Elephas maximus indicus: one gene and its partners. The protein of the gene in region 1 interacts with the protein of each later gene in a pairwise test. Links are inferred from orthologs where the notes say so. Each region holds a gene or a part of one and is shown on either strand. Other genes may lie near its edges.

Region 1 (7,330 bases):
GGGCGGCCCCGCCCCCGGGCGCGGACACGCGCAAGAACCTTCACGTCACGCGTGTCCGGCGCACGCGGGACCTGCACGGCGGGAGCCAGGCTCTCTCCCACCGAGGACTAGTGTCTGTGGGCTCGGGGGCTCAGGACTCGGCGGCAGCGGGTCACCCTCTCCCCCTCAACCAGGGCCCCGGGCCCGGCGGCAGCTGGTCATTGTTTGAGCACAAAGGGCCCGGCGCGGCGGCGGCTGCCCCTCCCCCTCCGCTTCGCTAGTCGGAGCCTCTCCCCAAGACACACTCTCCAGCTTTAGAGTCCATACGGGGAGGCCTAGGGTCAGATGCCCCCTTCCCGGTCTGCCGGGGTCCTGCACCCCAGCACAAGTCTGGGGGCGAGGCTCGGCCGGTGCCTGCCCCACCCGCAGTGGGTCGCCGGCGGCACACTTGGATTTGCGGAGGCGGCGCCACCTGGCGTCCAGTTTGGAGAAGACACCCAGCCACACATTCCCTCCCTTCCCTTCATGGGAGTCCCTATCCCACTCCCCACTCCTCGCGAGCCTAGGTCTGTCCCTGGCACGGCTCCATTCTCCTCAAGCTTCCTTCGGAACTCTTTGCAAAGACGCTTGGACAGAGGCGGCCCCTGGCCCCCCAACAATCACTGGGGTGAACCGGTCCAAACCTACAGTCCAAACCTACACCAGCCTCACGGCAAACAACATTCTACTCCCTTTCCCAGGGTCACAAAAATCCTCAGCCTCTCGCAAACAAACAGTCTTCTTAACACCTACACGGTCTTCCCCACATTCAGTCTCACACATCCACAATCTCACACGGTCTCATCCATCGCATGGTCCCATGTTCCTTCTTCTCATATCTTTGAGGCCAATTCACGCAGATGCACACTGTCACACGCCTTGTTTTGCAGTCTTTCACATCCAGTCAAAATCTTAAATAAATACACTTAGTCTCCTAACGATCTTTCAGACATTGACAGTCTTATTCACAGTTGCTCACAGACAACTTTTTACACATACACATTATGTTTTACAAACATATTCCTCCACACAGATTTTCCCTCAAGGGTCTCTATGACCTGGTCAGGTCAGCTGATGCTGGCACCCCTGGGCAAGGACGGCCTCCCTGTCCCCCAGGGCCAAGGCCTGCCAGAGCTCGGCTCCGCCCCAGGAAAGAGCATCCCCCCTTCCAGGCCACAGCCCTGGCCGGCTCTCAGCTCTATTTTTAGCTCTATGGAAAGGGTTGTTTTTCTTTTTCCCTGGAAAGGGAATCACAGCCCAGCTACCCTCAGGCTCATCCCAGACCCTTTGCCTCACAAGAACAGCCTGAGGCCCCCTCCCCAGAAGAGACCCCCTTGTCTGGCCTTTTCCTGATCCCAGCCTCCAGGGACACCAAGTGCCTCCACCCCTTCCCGGCAGTCTGCCCAGAAGCTCAAGCAGCAGCTGGGCTCAGCATGTGTGTAGGGGGGCGGCGTGGGGGCGGAGAGGGAGACAGAGGACCGCTGCCCACCACCCTCGGGGAGAGCTTGGACTCCTTTCTGCTAGAGGGGGTAGGCCCAGTCGGTATGAAGGGCTGTTTATACTCATGCGCTCTCTGGCGGGGGTGGGGGGGCTTCCACTCTTGCATGGGTGGGATTTCTGTTCCTCCATTCGGGGGAGGAACTCCCAGTCTTGTCAGAGGGGATGGGGTGGTAGGAAGGGGATCCACAGACACTCAAGCAGCTGCTCCCTGGGATGGGAGTACCGGGCGGTAGGGGGCAGCTGTCCATTGCTACCAAGGAGAGTACCCCCTCATACCTTCAGGGATGGGAACACTACGAATATGTTCAGGGGAGGAAGGGCGAGGAGCCCAGTTAATCCCACCCCCGCCCAACAGTCTCCAATTCGGTGCCACCCCGGCTCTAGGGGGCGTTGTGCTCCCATTTCTGGGGGAGGGCTTATCACCGCTCGAAGGTCGAGGCGTAGAATGGAATACTGCCCATTGTGGAACCGTGTAAGCTCGCCCGGGCCTGGGGAGGGGGTCCCTGCAAGTGGCAGGAGTCGGGGGAGTACAGCCACAAGGCTATGGCACAATCACGTGCTCGGCGCCTGTTTACGTCTCAGTCTTCACCTGGCTGCGGTGGGGAAGCTGGAACCTCCCGATGCGTCCCACCCGGTCCGCCCCCGTCGGCGCTCACCGGGCTGCCCCTCTCCCCCGCCCCTACCAAGTACGCGACAGGAGAGTGCCCTGCCCGGGGGGGGGGGTCCTCGCGGGCCGGTGGCGCTGTCCCTGAGACTGCAAGGGTAACCCACTGGGCACCTCCTTTTCTGAATGCACGTGTGTTCGTGTCCCACGTGCGTGCGTGTCTCTGTAGCACGCGTGTGAGCCCCTCAGTGCAAGTTTCTGTCTCGCCTCCTTGTGCAGAGTTCCTTGCCTGTCCCCCATGGAGTGGGGACCTCCCTCTTCACCCCAGCCCTCAGCTTTCCGGGACGGGGAAAGTTCGCTCCGGAGCAGGAATGTGCTGGAGGCGGGAGTTCCTACACCTCCGCAGTCCCGCCACTCACCCAGCACCACCTGCACCGCGCTCCAGCTCCAGTCCGGTGCCTGCTCCAGCGGGGGAACCTCTGCGCGGCAGATCTGCCGGCTTCCAAGCCCGCTCAGGGCTCCGGGAGCCCGCCTGGCCCGGCCTGGTGAAGCGGGGCGGGGCGGCTGAGGCCGCGCCCCCGACCCAGGGAGGGGAGTGGTCTGCCCGGCACCCCCTCAAGAGCCAACCCAGTACCCAGCAGAAGCTGGACAGTGGCCCGAGGCTGCTCCTCTGGCCTCTGACTTCACCAGCTTCCTGAACTTGGCTTTCAACCTAGGGAAGGGGCGAGCAGCACGTGACCGAGAGCTAAGCTACTGGCCGCCTAACTAAGCTGGCTATAGGGCTTGACGGGGCCACCTTCCCTGCTCCATAGGGAGCCCAATCTGGTCCACTCCCAGCCCACTTCCCAAACAGGGAAAATCCCTGGGGAACAGACAAAGAAGTCTCGGGTTTCACCAAAACAGCCCTCCCCCCACTTCATCTTGGGGCTGCCCAAGCAGAACCAGCGCCACCCTCTTGACTGGAGTAGGTGTCAGCCCAGGTGAGGAGGCCTGCCAGTTCTGGCTCCCATGGGGCATGGCCAAGCTTCCCTTAGACTCATAAAGTCCCACCCACATGCACAAACAGGAAGTTGGCCTGTATTGCAGGGAGGCACCCAGGACTTCCTCCCCCCATGGCACCCAAAGCAGCCTGTGTCTGCAGGTATCTGGGCCATATTTGCAGCCTGAGTACTTGAGCTGTAGGAGACTCCAGTGAGTTTCCTATTTTCTCAAACCCATCCACAGTAGTCGGGAAGCTGCTGGAAGGCCAAAGCTGCCCCCTCACCCTGGAGACCCTTCCTCTCATCAAGTATGAGGCACAGTGTCAATCTGAGGACAGGACCTCACTTGACCAGGTTCTCTCTGAGCTCTCAGGGAGATTCTTACATCTAGCTGGAGGGAGGCAGAGCTGGTTCTATCCCAGGTAATGTCCACTTTGGCTGGGTACGTGGACAGCGGGCCTCCAGGGACCTTAAATAGGGCCCGGGGGTCTCCACTGCTTTCTACACTCCAGGAGCTCCTGTATCTACTTAGGGCCATATCTTGATATGGGGAGTTTAAGGCAGGTGTGGAGTGGAAGATGTTTGGGTAGGGGGTGGGGCTAGCAGTATTTATCTTCCCCTCCCCCTCATCATTCTGGTTTCTGCTGCGTGGGGGTGTCTGCTAGGAGGGTGAGGCAAGACAAACAGGCAAGTATGTATCCATCCCTGTATCCCCAATTCCCACAAAAACCTCAGAGGTTCCCAGGAGGGAACCTCTGAGGATTTCCTGAGAACAAATCCGGCTTCTAAGAGACCAGAATGTCAAGCCCACGTCCTCATAGGCAGGACTGACCTGGTGTTCTGAGTCTGGAAGGCATGGCTGACATCCAATGTTATAGATCCTGGATGAGGCCTAGACCAGCCAGCGGCTGGGAATGATTACTGCGGGATTAGGGAGGCCTGGCTCCAGCCAGTCTGGGAGACAGACACCCCCCCACCCCCTCAAAGAAAGGAGGCCCTGGAGGAGCTACCCTTTTCCATATTCTGTCCCACAGAGAACAGCTTTGGAGCAGCTTTGCTCCAGGTCTTCCCAGGAGACATTTGTGGTCACTGTTCCCATGCTCTGCAGACCAGACCCCATACCCTTCCACAGGGTCCCAGAAGCACCCCCTTAGGTCGACAGGGAGAACTTGACAAGGCAGCCCTGCTTCCAGGGAGCAGGAAAGCTTTCACCCTACCCTTACAAAGGGCTTCTCCCAGCATCTTCAGAACACCTTATGTTCTCACCACTGTTTCAAAAACGAATAGGCAAATCTAAAGGGAAGCTGGAACTTTAGGATAGCCGGGGAAATGAGGTGGGAAAGTGTCATCATTTAGGTACACTAGTTCTGACAGGGTCTGTGGATTGCCTACTTTACAACCTCCTGCACGGCTTGTTAAAAATGAGGACTCCTGTACCCCTCCCCAAACTCCAGAATTAGAAATGTATGTGTGGCAGGATGGGGGTGGGGAGCAGGGCCTAAGTTCTGCATTTTTAACAGGATCCCCAGGAGTCACGGTATGCACTAACACAAGGGAAACATCAAGAGAGAATATGCTGAGCAGAGCCCACATCGAGGGAGGCCACTGAGTGGCTCACATCAGAGGGACAGCTGGTCAGGCAGGGCCTGGGCATGTGGCCCAGTGATCCACAGCGCTGTCAGGAATCACATGGAGCTCAAGGAAGTTAAGGATAAGGATACCCAGAAGAGGCGGTGGTGGTGGTGCAAGGCAGGGGGGTAGGGGGAATGAACACCCTTCGGTGACCTAGCTCCCTTGGGAACCCTCAGCTCAAATGCTGGAAATGGTGAAGGGACCCATCCATCCCCAGAGTGAAAGGAGAGTCCAGTTATAGACTGGAGACACCTGGTGGACAAATTAAAAAAAGCACAGAAACAAAGGCAGTGGGATTTTTTTTTTTTTTAAGTAAAACTGGAAAAGGCTGTAAAAATTCATGGCTGTATCTACTCCAGAAACACTGCCTACTTGAGGCAGCAAACCCTGGAATCTATGTCCAGGGGGCACACACTCTGGGCTCACAGCTTCCTTCTGTGGCTGCTGCTAAGAAATCCAGGAGGAGGTGATTCCCAATTTTGGGGCCCTGATATTCCAGGGCCAAGCACCTAGGATGCCAATTCTAGCAAATGCCCTCTCGTGACAGGCTCCATAGAGTAGGGAGCAGAGGAACTGGCACCCACCATATCACCCCTTGGATCTGAAAACCTCGGCAGGAGTTTTGACAAGGAACCCCTCATTCCCCTCCAGGTTTAGAGGCATGACCTCGCTGTCTTAAACTTGATCATTCCCACCTCAGGGCCTCTGTACTTAACACTCGGGCTACTGGGATCTCATCTTCCTTCTGATGTTCACGTGGCTTGCTCCTTCTGGTCCGTTAGACCCCCGCTCAAATTTCTCTGCTCAGAATGCCTTTTCCCACCGTTTAAACTAGCCTGCAAGCACTATCACATTACTGCTGTGTTTTTAGCGCTTTTGACTATCTAAAATTATGTTTTCTGCTTATTTGTTCATTGCTTGCCTCATCTCCCCCACCAGAATGCAGGTCCCATGGAAGTGGGGACCACATCTGTCATGCTCATTGCTCTATCCTGAGGACCCAGAACAAAGCCTGGTACAGAGTAGGTTCTCAGATACCTGCTAATTCTCTCATTACGGAACACCACCTAGCCTAGGCCCCTCAGACTGAGAAGGGCCCACAGCTCAGCACCATAGTCAGTGGTCAGAAGCCAGGAGTCTTTGCCCCAACCTGTCCTGTCAGGCTCATTTCAATGTCCAGCTCTGCACTGCCCTCACCATGAAGGCTGGCAGGTGTCTGGCTGCTAGGGGTTGGGGATCTGGTCCAGGCACATCTCAGAGTTCTGAGGCACAGTCCCCTTTTTGCCAGAAGAGGACTTTTTGGCCACTAGTCCATTGTCGTCCTTGATCTTTTTGAGTCGAGTCTTGCTCTTTGGTGGGACGGAGAAGGTGAGGGAGCTCTTGTTGAACTCGAGCGGGAAGACACCTACATCTCCATCAAAGCGGTTCTTGGAGACCTGCAAATACCGTTTCCCTGGCCCAGTTACCAGTTTCCTGTCCTGTAGGATCAGAACGTTGTCTGCTTCCTGGCTTGCCTGGGAGTTGGGGGGCAGAAGGAGGAAGCCGGGCATGAGAAGACATATAAGAGAAGCAGAACGGAAGGCTGGGGGCACGGGGAGAAGTAGCAAGAATGGGAGAAGGGAAAAGTACCTCCCCCATCACCACAACTCTTTCAACTATTGACCATGATGCTGGGGCCACTTGAGTCTTTCATTTCCTTGATAATAAGCTCCTGCTGTCTTCAGACTTTGTGTATGCTGCTCCCTCTGCTTCTAACACTTCTCCACAGCTGGATATCCCATTCAACCCTAGCTTCTTCTCATCATTCCCAGTCTAAAAGTCACACTTCACCAGCGAGACCATTCTTGACCACTCTAAATAAAGGAAGCACCATCTTTCCACTTCCACATTATTCTCTTCCCCAGCTCCTTGTTCCATGATGGCACATAGTTTGTGCTCCTCACCCTGTATTCCCTGTGCCCAGCCCAGACTTGGCATGTAATAAGCACTCATTGTACACCTGAAAGCTTCAGGATCTGGTTGGTCTTGCTGCCCTGAAGTCCCTCCCATTTATTTACCTAACCTATTTTCTGTCAAAACTCAACCCAACCTTTGTTGACATCTCCTCTGGGAAGTCTCCTCAGATGTCCTAGGCTGACTCAGAGCTTTTCTCTTTGCTCCCCAAATACCTGTGCTGCCAATTGCAGCTTTTATCATTCTGAGTTGTAATTACTATCTTGTTTCCTCACTAAAGGAAGACAAAGAGGGCAAAGGACCAACTATTATCAGTCCATGTATTCCTAGCATATATATTCTTCATGTCATGGCCCCAGAGGCAGCTGCCTCCTGCCTCCCCAGAAGGACAGCCAAGGAAATGATTTAAGCCTGAATGAGGGCTGTCCCTGGTCACATCTGCCCGCTTTACTCCCCAAAGCTTGGGCTCCTCCAAAGGCCACTCACTTTGGCTGAGCCAAAAATGGATGCTGTTTGCAGTTCCTTGTCATCATCCTCCTTACGGGGGTGAATGACCAGTGTCACATGGCAGCTATTGTCTGTAGCAAACTTCCGGAAGGCCCCAACGATGTAGTCTTGAGCTGCAATCCTGCCCCAGCCCAAC
Region 2 (6,882 bases), on another chromosome or scaffold:
TTACCTGACCCCTTTCTGAAAACTGCTAGAATTGCTCCAGGCACCCTTGGATCTGCCAACTCACCTACATTACTGCTCCTGAGCTTCTTGGCAGACTTGGTAACGACAGAGTTGGGGTCATGTGGGGAGAGCCAGGACACGAGGTCTGTGTCCACATTCCAGTAGTAAGGGAGCCCGCTGTGGGGCAATAGGAGCAAGGGAGGGAGGGAGGGGAAGAGTGTCAGTACAGATGTCCTCTCCTTTGTCTCCCCAATCTCTGCCCATACCTGCCCCTGTCAGGACTCCACAAGGAGGACCCCCAGATCTCGTCCCTTGTGTCTCCTATAAACCCCAAGGCCAAGGATAGCACAGGAAGGGTAAGGGTACAAGTTATTCCCCCTTACCCCCCCCCCAGGTCCCCAGACTCACCAGGAAGGGTCAAACACCTTGTACCAGCTTGGTGGCAGGCCTTCCAGCCGGGTGGCCTCATAGTCCACAGGATCATCATCATAGTCCTCAGCAATGATCTCTTCCTCTGGCTCTAGCAGGACAAGGTGGGGGGTAACAGTTAAGGGGAATTCTCATCCTGTCTCAAGGCCTGGAGGGACACATATGCTCACATTTATGCACTTGGCCAGTCACAAACCACACACGGAAGGCACATGCCCATGTGTATGCCAGGAAGCAGATAAAAATACTGCTTGCAAAATTCAAATATCTGAATATCAAAAAAAAATATCCAAATCTATTGTTTCTGGGTTCCAATGGTAAGTCATACTGTTCTCTGAACCTATCTGATTTCTGAATTTGGACAGGGATTCATCAAAAAAACTTATCCATATCTATTCAGTGCCTGAGTTCAGATAGTATGTGACGCTGTGTTATCCAAATCTATTTGAATAAAATGAGTTCGACAGCAAGGGGTTTTTCTGAAAATCTCTTCAGCTCTCAAGCTTGGCAAATACAGGATTTTTGATCCCTGTATCTTGAATAGCAAGGGATTTATCCAAACATTGTTCTGAAGCCATTCAGTTCCTGAGTGGCAAGGTGTAGTATTGGCAAAGGGCCTGACACATAGGCCTGCAATAGATGTCAGTTAATAGAATAAAAAGGGTGTATACTATCAGCTCAGTGCCTGGCCCTCAATAGGCCTATAACAGATTTCAGCTATGGATATAATTAACAATGAAATGTATATGTCAGCAAGAGCATAGCACCTGTCAAATAGTATGTCCAAAATAGTTGTCAGCTCTTGTCATTAGTATTGTTATTCAGATGTATGTCATCAGGACAAGACCTGATTCTCAATATGCTTAAAATTATATCAAGGATCATTATCAGTATTATTAACCATAAGGTCTATGCCTGGCACAGAGTAGACCTATAGTTAATGTAAATTTCAATATGATGAGCAATAAGAAGTATTTTTCAGTGCCTGGCACACCGTAGGCCAAAATTAATGCCAGCTTTCAATATTATTAACAATAAAGTATAAATATTAACAGCAGCAGCACAGTAGGCCTAAATGATAAGATTCTTGCTATCCCTTATTTTATACTGTGAACAGTAATGTGTATGCCAGGCACTTACAAAACAAAACAAAATAAACAAACCCATTGCCATCGAGTGGATTCCAACTCATAGCAACCCTACAGGACAAGGAAGAACTGCCCCATAGGGTTTCCAGGGCTGTAAATCTTTATGGAAGCAGACTGCCACATCTTTCTCCCAAGGAGCAGCTGGTGGATTCGAACCACCGACCTTTCAATTAGCAGCAAAGTACTTAACCACTGTGCCACGAGGGCTCCACCAGGCACTTAAACCCAAAAAACCCACTGCCATCAAGTGGAGTCCGATTCATAGCGACCCTACAGGACAGAGCAGAACTGCCCCATGGGGTTTCCAAAGAGCAGCTGGTGGATTAGAACTGTTGACCTTTTGGTTAGCTGCCAAGCTCTTAACCACTGTACCACCAGGGCTCCTTAGGCCCAAAATACATGTTACTTACTGATAAGGTGAATAATACAGGTATATATTATCAGTATAGTGGCTGGCACAACAGTAGGCCTGAAGTTCATGTTACCTATCAGTATTGTGAACAACAAAGTATCAACATCAACACTGTATTTGGCACACAGGAGACTGCAGGAGATGTCAGTTATCCTTACTATTAGATACTTTGTTATCACCCCATGGAACCTGGAATGCAATAAACCAAAACAGGCATCAGCTGTCACTATTATTAAGGCGGCTAAAATATCTATCCCCCTTGGCACATAGTAGGAGTGGATGTCAGGAATCCATATTATTAACAATAAAACGCCTTTCATCCCACTGCTTGGCTCACAGTAGGCTCATACTAGGTATCGAGTGTCAATATCAACAACAAAGTGCCTGTCAAGCTTGGCACATGGTGGGCTCATCTGCTCTTAGCTCTCACCAGGCTCCAGATGTTTGAGGATGCCTCTCTTGGCCAAGCGGGTCTGCAGCGCCACGGGCAATGGCATAGCGGGTAGCAGACGAACCTAGAGGCAGACGGACTAAAAATCAGATCAGATGAGAATTAGAATCCAGACCCTGTAACCAAGCGCCTCCCCCCAAGCATATACTCATCTGACCCCCACCTCCCCATCTGCAGTAGTTGGGCAGACGAAACCTACGCGCTAAAAGGTGGAGGAGATAAGTGGCAATATCACCAAACTCTCATCCACCCTCTAGTGCTCGCGTCCCTAGTTCCTCTTCCAGGCCCAGGCTCCGCCCAGCGCCAAAGGAGTCAAGCGTGTCTCCCCCGCGCCCCAGAAATGGGCTCACCCAACGTCCCCCAAAGACTGCCGGGTGGGAGGAACCAAAGCGCTGAAATGGGGGATCAAAGTGCAGAACCTCCTCCAGCTCCAAAAGAATGCGTCCACCCTGGTGTTACCAATACAGTCTCGCGGGCAGTGGAAGGCTGTCAGACAGGCCGCCTCCCTCTCGCCGCCGCTATGATCACCGGAACCACGCGACTAGCTCCTCCCAAAGCACAGACGGAGGCCTTTTCTCCCCGAGCCTTTAAGTAACTGGGAGACGCTCGGAGGCTGCGGAGAACAGATGACGCAACCGAGGTGGCCAATGAGAGTGTGCCTTTGGACTTACGTGTGGTGAAGCGACTCAACTCTTGTCTTGGAATAGGTGGAAAGCTCGCGCGCCTGTGTGCGTTTGCACTGGGGGCGTGGCTCGGCCGGATCTGGCCTGACTGCGCGGCCGAACGCCGGCGCCATGGAGGAGTACGCTCGGGAGCCTTGGTATGGTGATGGGCACAGGCATAGGGACTGTTGCTGCGGGGCCGTAGCCGACCGTGGGATGCGGGCGGGAGAGGCACCGGCCACGCAGCTCCACCTCACAGACTCTGGAGACTTAGAAACTTATCTCTTTCCGCTTCCCCGCTTGGTTCCGCCCACCCAGACTTGGTTAAGAGGAGCAGCAACTGTGCGCCTGGAGGACGTGCGGTACAGGACGAACCACTTCCCGTTGCCCCTGACTTTGTATTTCCCAGCACCTCTTTGTTAACGAAAAGTGACACGCTGGTCGAATCCATTCAGCCGGGGCGGGGGGGTGGTGGTGCGACACCAAGCAGAAATCTGCAGGGTTACACGTGTGGTTTTCCCCAGGTCTCTTTAGGTAATGGAGGGCGGGGCCTGAATGAGCCTATTGTTGGCAAGGAGGGAGTGCTGGATCCTCCCCACCGTCTGCTCTTGGGTTTTTCTAATCGTGCTTGATTAAATGGTTAAATGGGGGGAAGGGGGCGGGGCTCGATTGGACACGCCCATTGTTGGAGAAGGGAGTGCGACTTACCTGCTTTAATAACAGTACTAGCTAGCCAACACTCCTATAGCACATATTTAAATGTCCCAAATCTTTGCATGTATCATTTCATTTTTGGTAAAGCAATTGACTGATTCCTTAAGAGGAAGGAAGGAAGGGGGCAGGTAGGGCGAAGAAAGACGTTGGCAAGAGTCTCTGCGTTAGGGCATAGGGGAGGGCTCACGTTAACCTCTTCCTCCCTTTCCCTCTTGCAGCCCATGGCGCATTGTGGATGATTGCGGTGGAGCCTTCACCATGGGTGTCATCGGTGGTGGAGTCTTCCAGGCCATCAAAGGCTTCCGCAATGCCCCTGTTGTAAGCCCTGGCCTTGCCTGGGTGGTGTGGGGGTTGGCTCACCAGCCCACATGGATACTGCTCGGAAAACTGCATGTAGCTGCTAGTCACATGCACTTTTTCATCCTGATACCTGCTCACCTATTATGTGCCAGGCCTGGCTTCCAGATATAGGGTCTTGGGGGAACTGCAGATGTGGCCTCTGTCCCCCATACCCCCAACTGGGGCTCCTCTGTGGAAATGTTGTCTTGTCAAAACAGTCATCATCAAATCCTAGATGTGTGTACAAAGCCAGACAAATTTTACGTGGAGGGAGATTCTACGTCAGAAGCCTGGCTAGGGGAAGGTGATAGAAGTTTAACTGACAGAGCGAAGGACAGCGCCAAAGTTGAGAAAATCTTTTTAACACAGTCAATTACCTTCTTTCCCTGACAACAACCCCCGACCCCAGGAGATCTAATCAAATGTCACGGCTTTAAATGCTATCCATTTGCCAAGGTCTGTGCAATTTATGTATCTAGCTCTGTCTCTCCCCTCAACTCTAGACCCACATACCCAACTGCCTGCTTGACATTGCTACTTAGATCACTAATCTTAAACTCAACAAGTCAAAACTGAGCTCCCGATTCCTTCCCAGACCTAATCTCATCCGTCAACATCATCTCGGGGAATTATAATTCCCTCTTTCTAGTTGTTTAGGCCAAAAACCTTGGAGTCATTCTTGACGCCTCTTTTTCCCTCACAGCCCATCATGCATCTAATCCATAAGCAAAACCTGTGTAGTCAGCCTCCAAAACATGTATTCCCAAATCAGCAACTTCTCACCACCTCTGCTGCCACCATTCTGGCCTGAGTCCCCATGATTGCTGTAGCCTTCTCACTCATCTCTCAGCTTCTGCCTTTACCCCCTTAGAACCTGTCCTTAACACATCAGCCAGAAGGGTCCCTTAAAAAGGGAAATTAGATCCTCGTCCCACCTTATAATTCTCTAATAGCTTCCTGTTACTCTTAAAAGCTAAACTCCTTACCATGCCTTACAAATCTAACTGCCTACCTTTCATAGCCCATCTTCTACCACTCTCCTCCTTGCCCACTCTGCTTCACCCTCTGTGACCTCCTTGCTCTTCCTCCAACACCCCAGTCTCATGCCTGCCTCACAGCCTTTGAACTTGCTGTCACCTTAGTCTGGAACACTTTCCCAGATCTTTGCCCAAGTTTCCTTCTCATCAGCAAGGTCAAGCACAAATGCCCCCTCCTTAAAGAGGCTTTTTGTGACCACTGAGCCACTATCATCTATCTTCATCCTGTTCCCTCTAGAGTGCTTATTGCCGTCTGGAACTGTTTTGTTTATTGGTTTGTATCCTTACTCAATATTGACTATTCCACTATAACATGAACTTTGAAAGGGCAGGGACCAGGTCTCCCTTGCTCACTGTTGTATCCCTGCATATAGCATGGTGCCTGGCACATAGTAGGTGCTCGATAATCATTTATTGCATGAATGAATGAATGAATTAGAATTTCTCAACCCAGCTCTGAAAGCAGTCATGTTGGGGTGTTCCCCAGCCTCCTAGTTCTTGGCTGCTCCATATCTCTGCCCTGATACCCATAACGGGTCTCCCATCCCCATTCCTCCTTTAAAAGCCAGAAATCCTATCTGCCAGTGGCCTTACCCCTGCCCTGATTCCCCCCCTCCTCACTTTCCCCCAGGGAATTCAGCACCGGTTGAGAGGTAGCATCAGCGCTGTGAGGATTCGAGCCCCCCAGATTGGAGGTGAGAGGCTTCAGGAGACATGAGATATGATGGCAAAGTTGGTGGGAGAGAGGGTTGCCCCTTTGGGTCTAGATATCATGTTGGTGCCCAGATTCCAGCCCCAACTCTGCCTGGGATTTCTTGGGGGGAGAGGGAGAGAGAGACTTGCTGTCGTCGAGTCAATTCCAACTCATAGTGACCCTGTAGGACAGAGTAGAACTGCCCCATAAAGTTTCCAAGGAGTGCCTGGTGGATTTGAACTGCCAACGTTTTGGTTAGCAGCCGTAGCACTTAACTGCTATGCCACCAGGGTTTCCTGGGGTGGGGGGAGGTGACATTTCCCAACAATTTAGTAGAGGGGCGAGAGTGTGGGTTCTGGAGTTTAAATCCAGGCCCTGGCTCTTTCCTGCTGTGCGACCTTGGTCTAGTGGCTTAACCTCTCTGAACTTCTTTAACATGGGATGATCATAACAGTAACCACCTCAGTACTTTTGTAATTTATGGGTCAAACATTTACAGAGTATATATGAAGTTATTAAGATCGCTGTACTAAGCACTTTAATATTAACTAATTTAATATTTCATTATTAACTTTATTAATAATCTAACAATTAATATTAATTTAATATTAACTAATTAAAAATTTTAGAAGTCAAATAACGTACGGTACCAAGAATAGGACCTGACACACAGTAAGCCCTCAGTCAACATTTTAACTATCATTTTCATTACCTGGCTTTTCTAACCTGTGCCCTTCTCCCTGGTGGTGCAGTGGTTAAGAGTTCAGCTGCTAACTGAAAGGCCTGTCGTTTGAACCCACCAGTGGCTCTGTGGGAGAAAGATGGCAGTCTGCTTCCGTAAAGATGCACAGCCTTGGAAACCCTATGGGGCAGTTCTACTTTCTCCTGTAGGGTTGCTATGAGTCGGAATGGACTCAGTGGCAAAAGATTGGTTTAGTTAGTCCTCCCTGAAAGCAAGATCACCGTTCCAACTGTGTGGTGGTTACAAAGATCAAA
Region 3 (7,220 bases), on another chromosome or scaffold:
CAAGCACCAGGCCAGGGCCTTGCGTGTACTCGCAGGCGCACACCCCTCCTGCGGCCTCTGCCCTGCGAGCAGCAATGCGGACGGCTAGGTTATTGCTCTGTGTCACCTCGCTGGGATGTTGGTATAACCTAGGCTGCAAAAACGACAAGACAGAGCGCCTAGGCAGGGAGGCCACTGAAGAGAGGCTGGAAAACTGCAGCCCCAGGAATCCCAGAAAGCTGAGTATTTGGAAGCATCCTTGGTTCATATGCAGTCCAAGAGCACTCTCACTTCCCTCACACACACCCAGGAACACCTCCAGCTCTGTGCCAAGTGCAGGATTATCTGGGAGCACCTAAACCCACGCATACCTGGCATCATCCCTAGCCATGTTGTCTTCTAGAAGGAAGGAAATTAACCTTGGTGGGGCCACTTACCTTGGAGCAGGTATAGTTCCAGATGTTTCTCGTCTTTCTTAATCCCGATCATAACCCTTTGAGTACCTAAGGCTCAGAGCCATTCATTCATTATCTTTTGAGCACCTACTATATGCCAGGAACTGTTCTGGGCATTGGGGATTTTTTTTTTTTTTTCTGAACAAGAACTAAGAAGTCCCTGCCCTCATAGGTAGGACATTTCTGAAGGGGGTTGGGGGTTGTAAAGATAAAGTTTCTTATTCTAAATCACCCAGCTAGTAGGGGCTCATGGCCAGGTATAGACACAGGCCCTTATAGGAGGTATTCTCCCTCTCCACCTCCCCCATCTGCCTGCCGTTTCCCCACAATCCGGTGACAGTGTCACATTCAACGAGGGATGTAGAGGGGGCTTGGATGCCCCACCCATGGACATTATGGCATATCCCCCAGGGGCCCCAGGCTTGGCAGTAAATGTGGGACACTTGCCCCATCTCTTGCTGATTCCCGTCCTGTCCCCACCCCAGATCCAGGGCTGAGCTCCAGGCACCATGAACCCCGCCATCTGCATCGCTCTCCTGCTGACAGGTACTGTGTAAGGCTAAGGCTGGGAGTCCAGCCACACTGGCTTGCTCCTCCTCAGAGAAGCTAGCTTCTTCCTTACAGACAGTGGAGGGGATTGAGGTATAGAGGGCTCTTTTTCGTCCTTAAGTCAGCAATTTCCCCAAACCTAGCTGATCTGAGTGCCTTGGGTGGTTTTTGGAAACACAACTCCCTCAGGCCCACCCCAGCCACTGGATTAAAAAATATATACATATTGCCCACGAGTCTATTCCAACTCATAGCAACCCTAGAGAACATAGTAGAACTGCCCCGCAAGGTTTCCAAGGAGCAGCTGGTGGATTCCAACTGCCGACCTTTTGGTTAGCAGCCTGAGCTCTAAACCACAGCACTACCAGGGCTCCTGCCATTGAATTAGAATCTCCAAATGGGATCCAGGAACCTGGATCTACTCCCAAGACTTCCTGCCCTTGGAACATGCTAGTGGGACCCAGGACTCAAGCAGGCTAGGGAGCGAGGCTAGGGTCTTCAGTGGGGAAGTTGGACTGACCCTTGGGGACCCCTGGGGTGGGAGAAGGGCTCAGAGAGCAGACCCCTGTGACCCCCCTGACTAGGCCCCATCTCTGCTCTTAATGTGGTTAGGAGACCCCCTGCTCCACAGGCTCTTCCTAACTCGGAGGGGGCACTGCTGGTGCCAGTCTTTCAGGTGGCCTGGGGGCAGAAGGTGACAAGCCTGACAGCCTGCCTGGTGAACCAGAGCCTGCGCCTGGACTGCCGCCATGAGAACACCACCACCTTGCCCATCCTGTATGAGTTCAGCGTGACCCGCGAGACCAAGAAACACGTGATCGAAGGCACTTTGGGAGTGCCTGAGCACTCATATCGCACCCGGACCAACCTCACTAGCAAGTATGACATTAAGGTCCTCTACTTAAATGGCTTCACCAACAAGGATGAGGGCACCTATACATGTGAGCTCCGCCTCTCTGGCCAGCCTCTCAGCATCTCCAACAAGAACATCTCAGTCTTCAGAGGTATGGCAAGTACCCAGCAAAACCCACTGAGCTGGAGGAGACAGGCTAGGGAGGGGCAGACTGGTGAGGGCAGCAGGCAGTCCTGGCTGGACTAGAGGGAGAGGGGTCCCACTCCCCTGACGTCCTCCAACTGCTGCCTGGTCCCCTGGGGAACCACTGCCTTCAGCGTGAATGGGGGTCTGAGGAGCTAAGGTGCCAGTCAGAGAGACAGAGTGGTGTTGTAGACACTTCCATCATGACTCTAGGAAAGTCACTTAGCCTCCCCAATCCCCTTCCTCCCCTTCAGGGAAATAGGGACCATAATACCTACTTCCCCACAGTCTTCTTGTGACCATGTCTAGGAAGGATTTATAAGTTGATGTGTGTTCGAAGGAAGGATGATTGGTCCTGTTGATACTTGGTCCCATGATCATCTTGATACCAAGGCAATGCACCTTACTTTGTGCCTGTCCCTACCTAAATGCTGGTCTCTCTTCTTTCCTGTCCTGTCTCCTACCCAATTCTCTCTCCACAGACAAACTGGTCAAGTGTGAGGGCATAAGCCTGCTGGTCCAGAATACTTCATGGCTGCTGCTGCTCCTGCTCTCCCTGCCTCTCCTCCAGGCCATGGATTTCATCTCCCTGTGACGGGTTGTGCCCACAGAGGATACAGGAAGCCACAAGACCTGGTCCAGAGACCCAAGTTCTCTGAGTCGGCTGACCCCCTCCTCCCAGTCCCTCACACACCTCGGGGAGGAATAGGGACCCCACCTCTCATAAGGAACCCCAGTGCTGCATGCCATTATTTACCCACTCCCACTGCCACCCGACCCCCACAGCCCCTCACACCCTCTCTGCACACCACTGGCTGTCTTTTGTACTCTTTGTTCCAGAGCTGCTTCTGTCTGGTTTATTTAGAGTTTATCCTTCCTTTTCTTCTGGAGTTCGTGAAAAGGGAAGCCAGGGTTGGGGAACTAATGGAGAGTGAGAGGATGGGGCAGGGGGGATAGAAAAATAACCAATCCCTGGGGGACCATCCTTGCCCAGTGGGGACCAGAGGCCGTGGAGAGACCTGGGTGAGGAGGGGATGGGGTGTCTGGGGCTGGTACCCGTGTGGTCTATGCTGAGACCATCCCTCAGCAGGCAGGGATGGCACCTGAAGATCCCAGAGGTAAGGACCCCCCCAAGCATTTGTGGCCATCACGTGAGAGAACAGAGCATCTTCCAAAGCATCCTCAACCAAAGCAAAAAAAAAAAAATCCCCTCTTTAAGACCCCGTAGAAATCCCCCAGAGGCCTGGGGCCAGGGGCATAGTTCAGTTAGAAAGCAGATCGCGATGGGAGCAATGCTGATGAGGGGCTGGCTGAAGGGGTAAGAGGCGAGGGCATGTCATCCCTCCCTACCTAAGGAAGCCAGAAATGTGAGCCTACTGTCCTGACCAGCAGTAGAGAAGGTGGCAGAGGAAAACAAGCCCCTCCCTAAGAGCATCCAGAACTCTGACCTGGACCCAAGGAGTCGGGCTGGCTGGAGTCCCAGAGCCCCCCAGAGTCTGGCCCAAGTGTTTCTTCAGGAGGTTCTTTTCTCCCTCCCTCATCAGTGCCAGCCCCTGCTAGCTGGTGCCTGAGCCCCTCAGACAGCCCCCTGCCCCACAGGCCTGGCTTTTCAGGGACCTCTGGGGGCCAGAGGCAGGCCATGGAGTGAGACCCATGGGTGGGACACGCCTTGGGAGGTGAGGTGGCTTTTCCTAACCCCCAGCTCCCCACCAGCAGCCCTGTCCTGTCCTGTGACTGTGTGTAGTGCCACCACAGCTTATGGCATCTCATTGAGGAAAAAGAAAACTGCACAATAAAATCAAGCCTCTGGAATCGACCTCGTGTCCCATCTCTGCTTTGCTCCTCCATCAGCCTAGGCCCGCCTCCCTTTCCTCAGCCAGTGTCTCCATGGGCAGGAGGTCCCACTTGCCACCTTGAAAGTTGGGGAATACTCCCTCTTCCCTGCCTTCCATCAGTTCTTCCTCTCGCCTTGCCTTCTTTCCAACTTCTAGCAGCACCTCAGCCCCCACCTCCACCTCCACCCAGGACCTATGGCTGCATGCTGGGCTTCTTTTCAGGAGAACTAACATTTAATGTTTGCTCAAATAAATGAATGTTCCATCTCTGCTGACTCACCTGGCTAGAACCACAAACTCACCTGCCAATGTATGGGCTGAGCCACATGACACTGACACGAATATGCAAGTGGCTTTGTGCTAACAAGCATTGAGCTGTGTAGGCAGTGTTCTCTTCTCAGACCTGGTTTTCCTTTGGAAATGTCCTCTCAACGTACTTCTTCTTAGAGGGCAAGTACCAGGAGCGTGGAGAGGAAGCATAGGGGGAGGGTGGGGCAGGAAAGGGCATCCATGTCTCCAAGGTCTAAGGGTGAGCATCTCCTTAAATCCAAAAGCAATGGCCAAAGAAAGGACTGAGGACCACCATTCCCTTGGGGGAGGGAGGGAGCGCTAACCCCATCCCTGACCCCCTCCTCTAAAAGTAATGAGTAAAATGTGGATAAGCATTGAAGTCACCCTGGGACTGGGGACTAGAACCGGGCCACAGGGTGGCTCTGAGTTCGAGGTCCTCGTAGGAGTCAGTGAGACAGCCTTCCTGCTTTGCCAGGGACTTTGGAGGGGGAGGGTGGCAACTGCCCAGAGACTGACTCATTTGGTATTTAACACTGGATAGGATGATTCTTTCTGAGCATTTTGCTTAAAGGCCTCAGATCTAAATTTGTGCCACTGGCTCCCACTCTTCTTGCCACCTCCCGTCTATGCCTCTGCCTAGTCAGTGGTCCTATAGTGACCCTGCCCAAAGAACCTGCCCAAAGAGGAAAGGAAAATCCCGTGGTGGAGGAGAACACACTGCCGGTGTGAAAGACTGTCCCTGAGTGAGGTGCCAGTCATTAAGCAGGTGCAATGACTGACACAAGACCCCTCTTATCTGCAATGCTTGGAGCTCGGACTACTCTGGCGAGGAAAGGGGTTTTTTGTTTTTTTAAGTACTTTATTTTATCTTTGTTGTTGAGATCATACACATCAAAAACATACACCAATTCAAGTAATTTTGACATGTTTCATTGACATTGATTACATTCTTCAAGTTGTGCAGCTATTCTCACCTCCTTTTCTGTGTTGTTCCCCCCATTAACGTACTGTCATTGCTCCCCAAGATTCCCATTTAATTTTTCAAGTTACTGTTGTCAATTTGATCCCGTGTACATAGATTTTTTTTTTTTTACATAGATCTTAAAAGAGCATAATGCTCAAGGCAGACATTCTTTACTAGTCAAGCTAAACGATTGTTTGGTTTTAAGACATCAGGGGCTATTTTCCACCTTTTGTTTTGTTTTGTTTCCACTTTTTGGCTATTGTGAACAGTGCTGCAATGAACATTGTTGTAGAGTCTCTGCTTTAAAATCTTTCGGGTATATAGCTAAGAGTGGAATTGCTGGGTCATACGGTAGTTTGGAAACTCTGGTGGCATAGTGGTTAAGAGCTACAGCTGCTAACCAAAAGGTCGGCAGTTCAAATCCATCAGCTGCTCCTTGGAAACCCTCTGGGGCAGTTCTACTCTGTCCCATAGGGTTGACTACGAATCGAATCTACTCGATGGCAACAGGTTTGGTTCGTTTTACGGTTGTTCCAGTTTTAGTTTTTTGAGAAGCCGTCTGTTTTCTACAGTGGCTATATCATTTTGCATTCCCACTAGCAATGATTCCAATCTCCCACATCCTCACCAACATTTATTATTTTATGTTTTTTATTTTTATCTTAGCCACCCTAGTGGAAGTGAAATGGTACTTCACTGTGGTTTTAATTTGCGTCTGTCTGATGGCTAATGACGTTGAGCATCTTTTCATGTGTTTGGTGGCCATTTGCTGAGATGTCTATTCAACTCCTTTGCCCACTTTGCCCTTTGCCCATTTTATGATTGAGTTGTGTTTTTGTTGTTGTCGAAGTTTTATGTATTTTTTGGTTATTAGGTTCTTGTTGGTATATGGTTTCCAAAAATATTCTCCCAGTTGGTAGCTTATCTTTTCACTTTTTTAGTAAAGCCTTTTGCTGAACAAAAGTTTTTAATTTTTGAGGTCCCATTTATTTATTTTGTCTTTTGCTTTTGTTACTGTATCAGAAAATCCATTGTTAAAAGCTAGGCCTGACAGCATTGCCCCTGCTTTTTTTCCTAAGGATTTTAAGGTTTCACTTTGCATATTTAGGTCCTTAATCCATTTTGAATTTTTGTGTACAGCGTGAGGCATGGTTCTTGTTTCTTTTTTCTGCGTGTGGAAACCCAGTTTTCCCAGCACCATTTATTGAAGAGACTCTACTTTCCCCGTTGAAAGGACTTAGCACCCTTGTCAAAAATCAGTTGACCATAGATGTGTGGGTTTATTTCTGAACTCTCAATTCTATTGCATTGGTCTATGTGTCTGTGTGCTCTGGCTAAGACTTCTAATACAATATTGAATAGAAATGATGAGAGCAGGCACCTTGTTTTGTTCCTGATTCCAAGGATAAAACTCTCAGTCCTTTTCCATTAAGTATGATGTTGTCCCTTGGAATTCATATATGCCCTGAATCATATTGAGGAATTTCCCTTCTATTTGAATCTTCTTGAGGGTTTTCATCAAGAATACCCATTGGATTTTATCAAATGCCTTTTCTGCATTCATAGAGATGATTATGTGTCTCTTTTGTTCTACTGCTGTGGTGTATTACGTTGATTGATTTTCTAATTGTAAAAAGGGCTTGTGGAAGTCAGAGGTCCTCTAACTTCATGAGCGGGGAGGAGAATCATTATCAGGCTCAACAGCCCAAGGTTGATTAATATGAGATGGAAGTCAAACATGCCTCCACTCTCCAAACTTCTACCAATTCTGACATTAGCCATCCCTCCCACAGAACTCTCTACTTCTTTGCTGGGTTCAATAATTTGTTGCAATGGCACACAGAACTCACAGATAACAATTGTTTATGGTGTTTATTAGGGTAGTAACAGGTTACCACTTGGAATCAGGATCAACAGGTTACAACTCAGGATCAAGAACAGAGAGCACGTAGGCAAATTCTCCCTTCTTCAGGGCAAGACAGTTCTCTCAGTTACTCTCAGCCATGCCGGGCTCATCTCAGCCCCCTGAAGGCAAGCTTTTCTTGGCCCCCTCAGGATAGGCTTTCTCTTTTGGCGCTCAGACCTCAGGCCCTTGGCCTGGCCTCTGACCT
Region 4 (7,677 bases), on another chromosome or scaffold:
ATGTTTATGTACAGCTGCTCCTTCGTAACTGGGCATAGGCTCCCACTCTTGTTTGTGTGGCTCAGCCCTGCCTCCTGACCTGCATCATGGGACCTCAAGGGTAAGAACCACATCCTTGATTCCTGCAGTAGCCCCAGTACCAGAACAAGCCCCGAGCTCCTGGCATCTCCAGAAAAGGCTGCTGGAGACCCTCCTCCCCCTTGAATAGCGTCATGGCCCCTCCAATGGCACTCAGGCTTTTCTTATGGGGTGATACCCTTGTTTCAGATGAAATTTGGGGCCAAACTCTGTGTATAAAACAGATAACCAAGGGTGTGCACTGCTTAGTACAGCCTTCCTGGCCCCTCTTGGCCCTCTCTCCTCATCCTTGAGGCTTCAAAAACATTTCCGAGAATCCCAGGGCTCCATGGGGTTCAAGGAAAACCAGCAATCTAGCCCAAACCTTTGGTTTTACATACAGGAAAAAGGAAACTGAGAGAATAGAAGGACTCGTCCATAGTTTCACAGTTAACTAGAGGCCAAAACCAGGACTGGAATTCAGGGCTCCAAGGAGCTCTGGTGGTGCAAAAGGTAAGGACTGGGCTGCTAACTGAAAGGTTGGAGGTTCAAACCCAACCAGCAGCTTCATGGGAGAAAGACCTGGTGATCTGCTCCTGTAAAGATTACAGCTGAGAAAACCCTGTGGGGCAGTTCTACCCTGTCACATGGAGTCGCTGAGTGGATGTTGACTCAGTGGCACCCAGCAACAACAAAACCCAGCCTGAGGCTCTGTACTCTCTTGGTTGCAATGGATGAGATGGCTGCCACTGTTCCAAGGAGTCCCCCTGCGGATGGATTCTGTATCCCTGCCACCTCTCTATCCTCCAGTAAGAAGTTTCAGGCCAGGCAGTGGTGGGGGAGGGCTCGGAACATCTGCCTGAGCCAAATGGGGCTTCGGAGAAGAATCTGGGAGTCCGTTCCCATCTCTTACTCAACCCACCCTGCCCACGGGGTGTGGCAAGGAGTACAGGGGAAAGAATATCAACAAGCTCCTGGTCAGGAAGGCTAGGCAGCGGTGGGGGTGCTACCCCACCCTGAGAGTGCAGAAGTTTTTGAGGAAAGTCCGGTCCCCTACATCCATTGCCAGTGGGGTTCACCTCAGGGGAGGCTCCCCACAGCAGGGACCTGCAGAGCTGTGGGTGAGAGCGGGCCCAGCACCTGTGGGGCAAGGGGCAGAAGCCATAGCTGAGTCCTCAGCCCTGAACACCTCACAAGCCTCCACACGCCCTTGCTCATCCCCATCTCAGCTCAAGCATAATCACGTACACAGAGCTCATGCAATCGCACTTATGTATTGTATACACGAATATACGCAAACATCCAAATAGGCACATAAACACTCACACAAATATATGTACATCCTCCCCACACACAGACTCCAGCCCTCATTGATAATGTCCACCTACAGGCACAGTCACGTCCATATGCAGCCACATACACAAAACCCACAGGGCCGCGCTGAGAGAAGGCTGAAGGAGTGCATGGGGGCGTCAGGAGACACTGGGGCATCAGACAGACAACAAGAAGGTGCAGTACTGCAAATGCAAACCCCGAAACCAGCCAAAAGGGGCCAAAAATTCCTCCTCACATTATCTTCCCTCACCCATGACCTATTCCCTGTGGGCCAGGCCTGCTCAGGTGGGCAAATTCTCTCTCCCTTAAAACAACAAAGAAACACCCCAGACTGACACAGAGCCCAGGACTGAGTGCTACATCATTGAGTCTTATTCTCTGATCTGACTGAATTTATCCTATGACCTTGGTCAAGCCCCCAACCTCTTCCCAGCCCCTACTTGCTCATCTAGGAAATGGTCCTGTCTCCTAAGGCCTTAGGGAGCCACCTCTGATGCCCAGCGGGAGGTGTGAACGGGAAGGAAAGATTTCCTAAAGGAGCCAGGGGCAGTGGAGACTCAAGTCCAAACGCTAAGAACCCGGAGGAGAAGGTCAGGGCTGAGGGACCGGGAGGCAGGAGGGGGCTCCGCACCCCCGTGGAGGCCTGGAGGGGCCCACAAGTTACCTCCTTCTCGGCCTTGGCCTCCTCCACGGTCACAGTGCTGTGATTCTTGTGCTCCTGGAACATGCAGAGGTAGCAGATGCAGGTCTGGTCGGTCTGGCAGAAGAGCTCCATGGTCTTCCCATGCAGAGGGCACTTGCGGGCCTCAAAGTCCCGGATGGGCTCCAGCAGCTGGTGGTCGCGGAAGGCGGCACCCTCCAGGTGAGGCTTGAGGTGGAGCTCGCAAAAGGAGGCCTGGCACACCAGGCAAGACTTGACAGCCTTCTGCTTGTTGCCGATGCACGAGTCGCACAGGACCTCCTCGGAGCCGGACTTGGGCCGCAGGAGGATGCTGGTGTCGGCCCGAGGGTAGCTGTTCGGCCGCGCCTCCCCCGGCTCCAGGATGGACACCGTGGGCTTCCGGGCCTCCGAGAAGATGGACTTGCGCAACTCCCCCTTGTCGGCGAAGGCGACCGGCGGCTTCTTGGTGACCCCCAGCTGGAGCCCTGCGTAGGGGGACCGCCTGCCTTCCGCGGAGTCCATGCTGAAGTAGTTGGAGCCCTTGTCGTCCACGGACTCAACAAACTGGATGATGGGTCGCCGCCACTCGTTCCCCAAGAACAGGGAGCTTTTCCCCTCTCCGGACTTCAGGGAGCTGCCCAGGCTCTTGCCCTCGCCTGCCTCCCCACCATGCCCATTGGTGGTCTTGGCGTCCTTGGCTTCCCCCTTGGTCCCGCTCTCCAGGCCACCGCTGAGGCCTGGGGGGCCGCGGGCATCCTTGGCTTCTAGACCCATCCCGTTGCTCCTGGAGGCGTCAGCGGCTTCCATGGCACGTCACTGGGCTGTCTGTTTCGGGCTTGCTGGGGCTCCAGGTGGGTGACCTGTTTGGCGCGTGTCTCGGCGGGGAGTGGGGCAGGCAGCCACAGAGCAGAGAGGCACAGCTATAGCGACAGGGAGGAGCAGCAGTCGGGTGGGCGGAGCAGCAGGGGCAGGCCTGATAGAAGGGGCAGGGGGCTGGGGAGAAGCAGGCGGCTCCTGGAGCCAGCAGAGCGGCTCATTACCCAGGGGCCCACGCCCTACACATTCATACCTAACCTGATTGTTTAAAGAAGTGTTTTTTCTTCCCGTTTAATTATTTTCCACAACCCAGCAACCAGTCAAGCTGCTTCCGTCTGAAGTGCTGGCTCCTTATCCGGGAAGTGGGGGAGTCTCCATCCTTATAGGGGGGCTGGCTTCTCCGGGCTGAGGGGCTCCCGAGGCAGACCTGAGGTGTCCACAGAGGCCCATGGGACAGATGGGCTATTAATTGAGTCGCACAAGCCAAATCGCCTTGTAATTTTCGAGCCTGGATTTCGGAGATTCCCCACCCTGGGTGGTGGAGTTGCCTATCACCTTAAGGGGAGTGACGGGTTCAATTTGGCTTTGGAGTGAAGTGGTTGCTGATTATTGAACCTTGTTCTCGGTACTTTATATATATGAGCTCATTTGATTCTCACTACAATCTTTTCAATTATTCCTATTTAATAGACAAGAAAATGGAGGTTCTAAGAAAATACTCACTGTCCTAAGTCAAGTGGTAGAGCTGAGATTTGAACCCCGAGGCCCTTAAGATTCCAAAGTCCCTTCTTCAGGGGACCAATGGGCCAGGGGGTCATGGAGTGACCTGAGTATCTTGCCAAGAGATGGCTTTTGAAAGTCATTCCTATCCCAGCCACTCCCACAAGAGGCACACAGACTTTAGGTTGTTTCTGTAAGGGCAGGTCAGGACCTGCTTGGATCCAAAGACAGGGAAACCATGATAAGGGGACTTTCAAGCAATGAGAGGCCAGGTGGTTTGGTCCTCAGAGTCCAAACACTTGACTCTCACCTGTCTCCACAGCAAGTTCGCTGTATGACTCAGAAAAAAATATGCTCACCCTCTCTGGGCCACAGGTTGTTTTTGTTGTTAGCTGCCGTCGTTTCAGCCCCTGACGCACGGCAACCCCGTGCACAATGGAACAAAATGCTGCCCGGTGCCGCGCCATCCCCATGATCGGTTGTGGATGGGGCTGTTGTGACCCACAGGGTTTCACTGGCTGAATTTCGGAAGTAAATCCCCAAGCCTTTCTTCCCAGTCTGTCTTAGTCTGGAAGCTCCACTAAAACCTGTCCAGCACCATAGCCACAGGCAAGCCTCCGGCGACAGATGGGTGGTGGCTGGCCGCACAGGAGTTGCATTGGCCGGAAGTTGAACTGGGGTGTCTCTCATGGAAGGTGAGAATTCTGCCACTGAACCACCAATTCCCCTTCTAGGCTACAGGCAGCAGCCGCTGAAAGGAAGGCAGAGAAGTATGGGACCCAGAACACCTCACAAGTGAACTGCTCAGATGTGACTATTGTGTAAATACAGAACCCTGGGGAAAAAGAGGAGAAAAACTGCTCTAGGCCCTTTCTTTCCCCAACCCCCTGTACGAACACTGGGCACAGTCCTCTCAGCTCCTGCCAGGCTGTGCCATCAGGTCATCTCTGGGGCACTACACGCTGCTGTGGTCCCTGGAAGCCCACATCGGCCCCCAACCCATCCCCAAGTTAAAGGGCTGTGCCTTTCCCAGGCCGGACTGAACAGGGCAGAGCAAAAGGTAGGTGTGGCTGGTGTGGCAGGTTCTGGGCTCTGTGTAGGGGAGTGGGTTTCCCTGCCTTCCCCTCGAATCCAGGCCAAGCTCTGGCAGCCCTACCCCTTTGGCTCACCAGGCTGAACAGCTAATCCTTTTGCAATAACAGCCCTTGGGAAAAGGGCAGAGCCAAGCATGGTTCACAAAGCAGCCAGAAGTTTTAAGAGGAGGTATGTGGGGGTGGTGTTTGGGTGGGAGCGATGGCTTCATGATGCGGATTTTCCTCTTACCTGACAGCTCTGTTCTCAGGCCCCATGGGAGCCCCTTCTTGTTTGAATTCACTGATGAGTTGGTTAAAAGCTCATGGAAACTTCTGGGATACAGAACCCCTTCTCAAAAAGCCAGGCCAGAAGGGAGAGGTAGAGAGAGAGAGAAGTATTGTCCTGGTCTGCTGGATGAGGAGGCTATTCCCATCGATCTTCTCCAGATAGAACATAGCCTGTGAGAATAGATTTTGAGGGGAAAAGAAGGAACAAAAGAGGAGAACCGAAGGGTTTTGGTAATGGATCCAATATTAATGCTCCCTGAACCTGGGATGCTGCACTGGGAGGCCTCTGCATGTCCTTAGGGTTCATGACAGGAATCTGGGGAAAGATTCTGAGTCTTAGGAATAGACTGCTCAGAAAATATTTGTGATGGATGGATGGATGGATGGATGGATGGATGGATGGATGGATGGATGGATGGGTGGGTGGGTGGGTGGGTGGGTGCGTGGTATAAGAGTGGAAAATAGGTAAATGGATGGATAATAGATGTGAATAATGAATGGATAGATGGATGATAGATACACAGTTATAGAATTGGATAAACATGAAGGAGGGAGGAAGGAAGATTAAGTGAGAGAGAGAGGGAAGGAAAAAAAGGAAGGGGGATGAACAGGCAGTAGATGAATGAGTGGATTGCAGTGGTGTGCTGGCAAAAGTTTAAAAACTAGCTCTTCCAGGGAGAAAAATGCTTGCCAATTTCCCTGGTGTAAATACTCCAGGAAATTTCAAGCTACAAATGTGAGGCGTACAAGGAAGGTATGTACACAATGGGCTCTCCGAAGACAGTGGGAGCTGGCTCCAGCACACCACTGGAGGAATGGTGAATTGTTGAGGCAGATAGATAATAGGAGGGAGGATACAAATAATTGCTGGAGAATACCACCCACAGTTATCCTGAGAAGGGCAACAGGCACAAATGATTTCAAAGCAAATATGAAGACAAGGCTAATTTATCTCTTCCATTAGGTTTCCCCTGGGCCCCAAGCCCACAGGGATAGCTCCCTTCTCTGGACCCCTATAATATTTACCGTCTGTCCTACTCAGAGGAGCCCTGGTGGCACAGTGATTAAGAGCTTGGCTGTTAACCAAAATGTTGGTTGCTCAAATCCACCAGCCGCTCCTTGGAAACCCTGCGAGGCAGTTCTACTCTGTCCAATGGGGTCGCCATGAATCAGAATCGACTCAATGGCAATGGGTTTTTTGGGTGGTGCTACTCAGAAGGCATTTAGCTCAGACCACCTGATGTTAATTGTTCATTCACACGTGTTTACTGAGCATCCTATTATGTGCCAGGCACTAAGCCCGGGACTGATCACACAGACATGAATAAGTCCCAAGTCTGGCCCTTGAGGAGCTCACAGTCCAGCAAGTAAATGAATTTGGTGTAAACAGTACATATAGTACGTGTGAGGAGGTGGGGCAGCTCAGAGAAGGGTACATCCAGGACCTCCCGACAGAGAGGCCTGTCTCTCCAACCAGGCTGGGTGCTGCTCACTTTCCATGCACCCAAGCATCCTCCCCTGGCCGTGCGGAAAATGTGGTTTTGATTTGATTCAACAGATATTTGTTAAGTTGAATTCTTAGCCAATGCTGGTTGACTGGTCTTTCGGACCTTCTGTGCCGGGCCCACAGCCCCTCCCTCTCTTGGGAGTTGCTCCCTCCAAAAACTTGGTGGAAGGTAGGCTGGACTGGGGTCCCTCAGCTCCAAAGGAAGGAAAGGATTTCTCTGGGGAACAAACCAAAGAAACAATTCTCCTTCCAGGGCTGACCTAGCCCTCCCAACACTACTGCCATTCCCACCAGCATTCCTGGAGCTGGACTGTAGAGGTAAGGGTTTTCATCTGTTGAGTACTGAGGTCTAGGGTGGATGCTGAGGACTACCCAAGGGACGGTCATGCTCCCAGAGCTCCCCCCATGCCCACACTACACATTGGCCATTTGTGTCCACCAAGGGAGCTGGTACACCCAGCCCCAACTGCTGGGGTCCTGTCCTCTTCACCCCCAAATCCAATTGCAAAGATTCCCCAGGCGGGCATTTCCTGACAGCCTATGTGCCACTTGCAACCTGGCCAAAAGACCCAAAAGGCCATCATACCCCATCCACCACTGTGGCTGAGGGAAGGCCTCCATGCAGAGGGAATGCTTCATTTTTAAAGGCCTGGAAAGAAAGGGGTTCCATGAATCCCCTCAGTCACTCATGTCCCATCTTATCCTGTTCTTCCTTTGGTCTAGCTTAAAGCGTTCCTGCTGCGACATTTCTCCCTATACCAAGGGATGGTGGAATTTGACTGGCTACCAACCTCTACCCTGTCCTTTGCAGGGTTCAGGAGGTAAGAAGAGCCAGTAGGTGTGGCTTCCAGAGAAGGATTCTTAGAGAACAAGGAGAATTCTTCCCCTCCCCTTTGGTTCCCTCAGACCCGCAATGCCCTGCCAGCGAACCCCTCCCCCCACCCCCTAGTTTCTTCCTTCCCAGCCAACCCCAAGCCTCCTCCCAAGCTTCTATCTTGAGGCATCTCAAAGCATTTCCCCTCCTGGGAGCCTCCCTTGATTCAGTGGGTGGAGCAGCCTCACCCACCCACTGCTATGGCCTGGTGACACCTGATTCCATCACCCCAGATGAAAGAGGAAACCCCTTAAAAGGAGAAAACTCCCCCAGCTTCCTTGGAATCCCAGGGCTGGAAGGGAGAGGCCAGCTGGTCCATGCCCCTGCCTCTGGGCAAGACTCTATC

Evidence for each region.
Region 2: the proteins of LZTS2 (region 1) and PQBP1 interact in binary tests that used the Homo sapiens proteins (3 or more experiments, as listed by UniProt). The two-hybrid records come from large-scale screens. The link is inferred for Elephas maximus indicus from reciprocal best matches to the Homo sapiens genes LZTS2 and PQBP1.
Region 3: the proteins of LZTS2 (region 1) and USP2 interact in binary tests that used the Homo sapiens proteins (3 or more experiments, as listed by UniProt). The two-hybrid records come from large-scale screens. The link is inferred for Elephas maximus indicus from reciprocal best matches to the Homo sapiens genes LZTS2 and USP2.
Region 4: the proteins of LZTS2 (region 1) and TRIM29 interact in binary tests that used the Homo sapiens proteins (3 or more experiments, as listed by UniProt). The two-hybrid records come from large-scale screens. The link is inferred for Elephas maximus indicus from reciprocal best matches to the Homo sapiens genes LZTS2 and TRIM29.

What each region holds. Positions count from the first base shown.
Region 1 is NC_064834.1:52,643,517-52,650,846, reverse strand, and holds the start of LZTS2 (leucine zipper putative tumor suppressor 2), read right to left. Parts: upstream 3,017-7,330; 5' UTR 2,542-3,016; intron 1-2,541. Other genes in the region: TWNK (twinkle mtDNA helicase), read right to left, coding at 5,958-6,248, 7,174-7,315. UniProt on the Homo sapiens protein: Negative regulator of katanin-mediated microtubule severing and release from the centrosome. Required for central spindle formation and the completion of cytokinesis.
Region 2 is NC_064846.1:122,724,110-122,730,991, forward strand, and holds the start of PQBP1 (polyglutamine-binding protein 1), read right to left. Parts: upstream 3,003-6,882; 5' UTR 2,900-3,002; exon of another isoform or gene 2,791-2,899; intron 2,747-2,790; exon of another isoform or gene 2,640-2,746; intron 2,520-2,639; 5' UTR 2,487-2,519; coding exon 2,420-2,486; intron 521-2,419; coding exon 409-520; intron 178-408; coding exon 65-177; intron 1-64. Other genes in the region: TIMM17B (mitochondrial import inner membrane translocase subunit Tim17-B), read left to right, coding at 3,235-3,260, 4,035-4,134, 5,824-5,887. UniProt on the Homo sapiens protein: Intrinsically disordered protein that acts as a scaffold, and which is involved in different processes, such as pre-mRNA splicing, transcription regulation, innate immunity and neuron development.
Region 3 is NC_064835.1:11,873,598-11,880,817, reverse strand, and holds the start of USP2 (ubiquitin carboxyl-terminal hydrolase 2), read left to right. Parts: upstream 1-4,200; 5' UTR 4,201-7,220. Other genes in the region: THY1 (thy-1 membrane glycoprotein), read left to right, coding at 944-980, 1,652-1,987, 2,502-2,614. UniProt on the Homo sapiens protein: Hydrolase that deubiquitinates polyubiquitinated target proteins such as MDM2, MDM4 and CCND1. Isoform 1 and isoform 4 possess both ubiquitin-specific peptidase and isopeptidase activities.
Region 4 is NC_064835.1:12,727,049-12,734,725, forward strand, and holds the start of TRIM29 (tripartite motif-containing protein 29), read right to left. Parts: upstream 3,014-7,677; 5' UTR 2,861-3,013; coding exon 2,057-2,860; intron 1-2,056.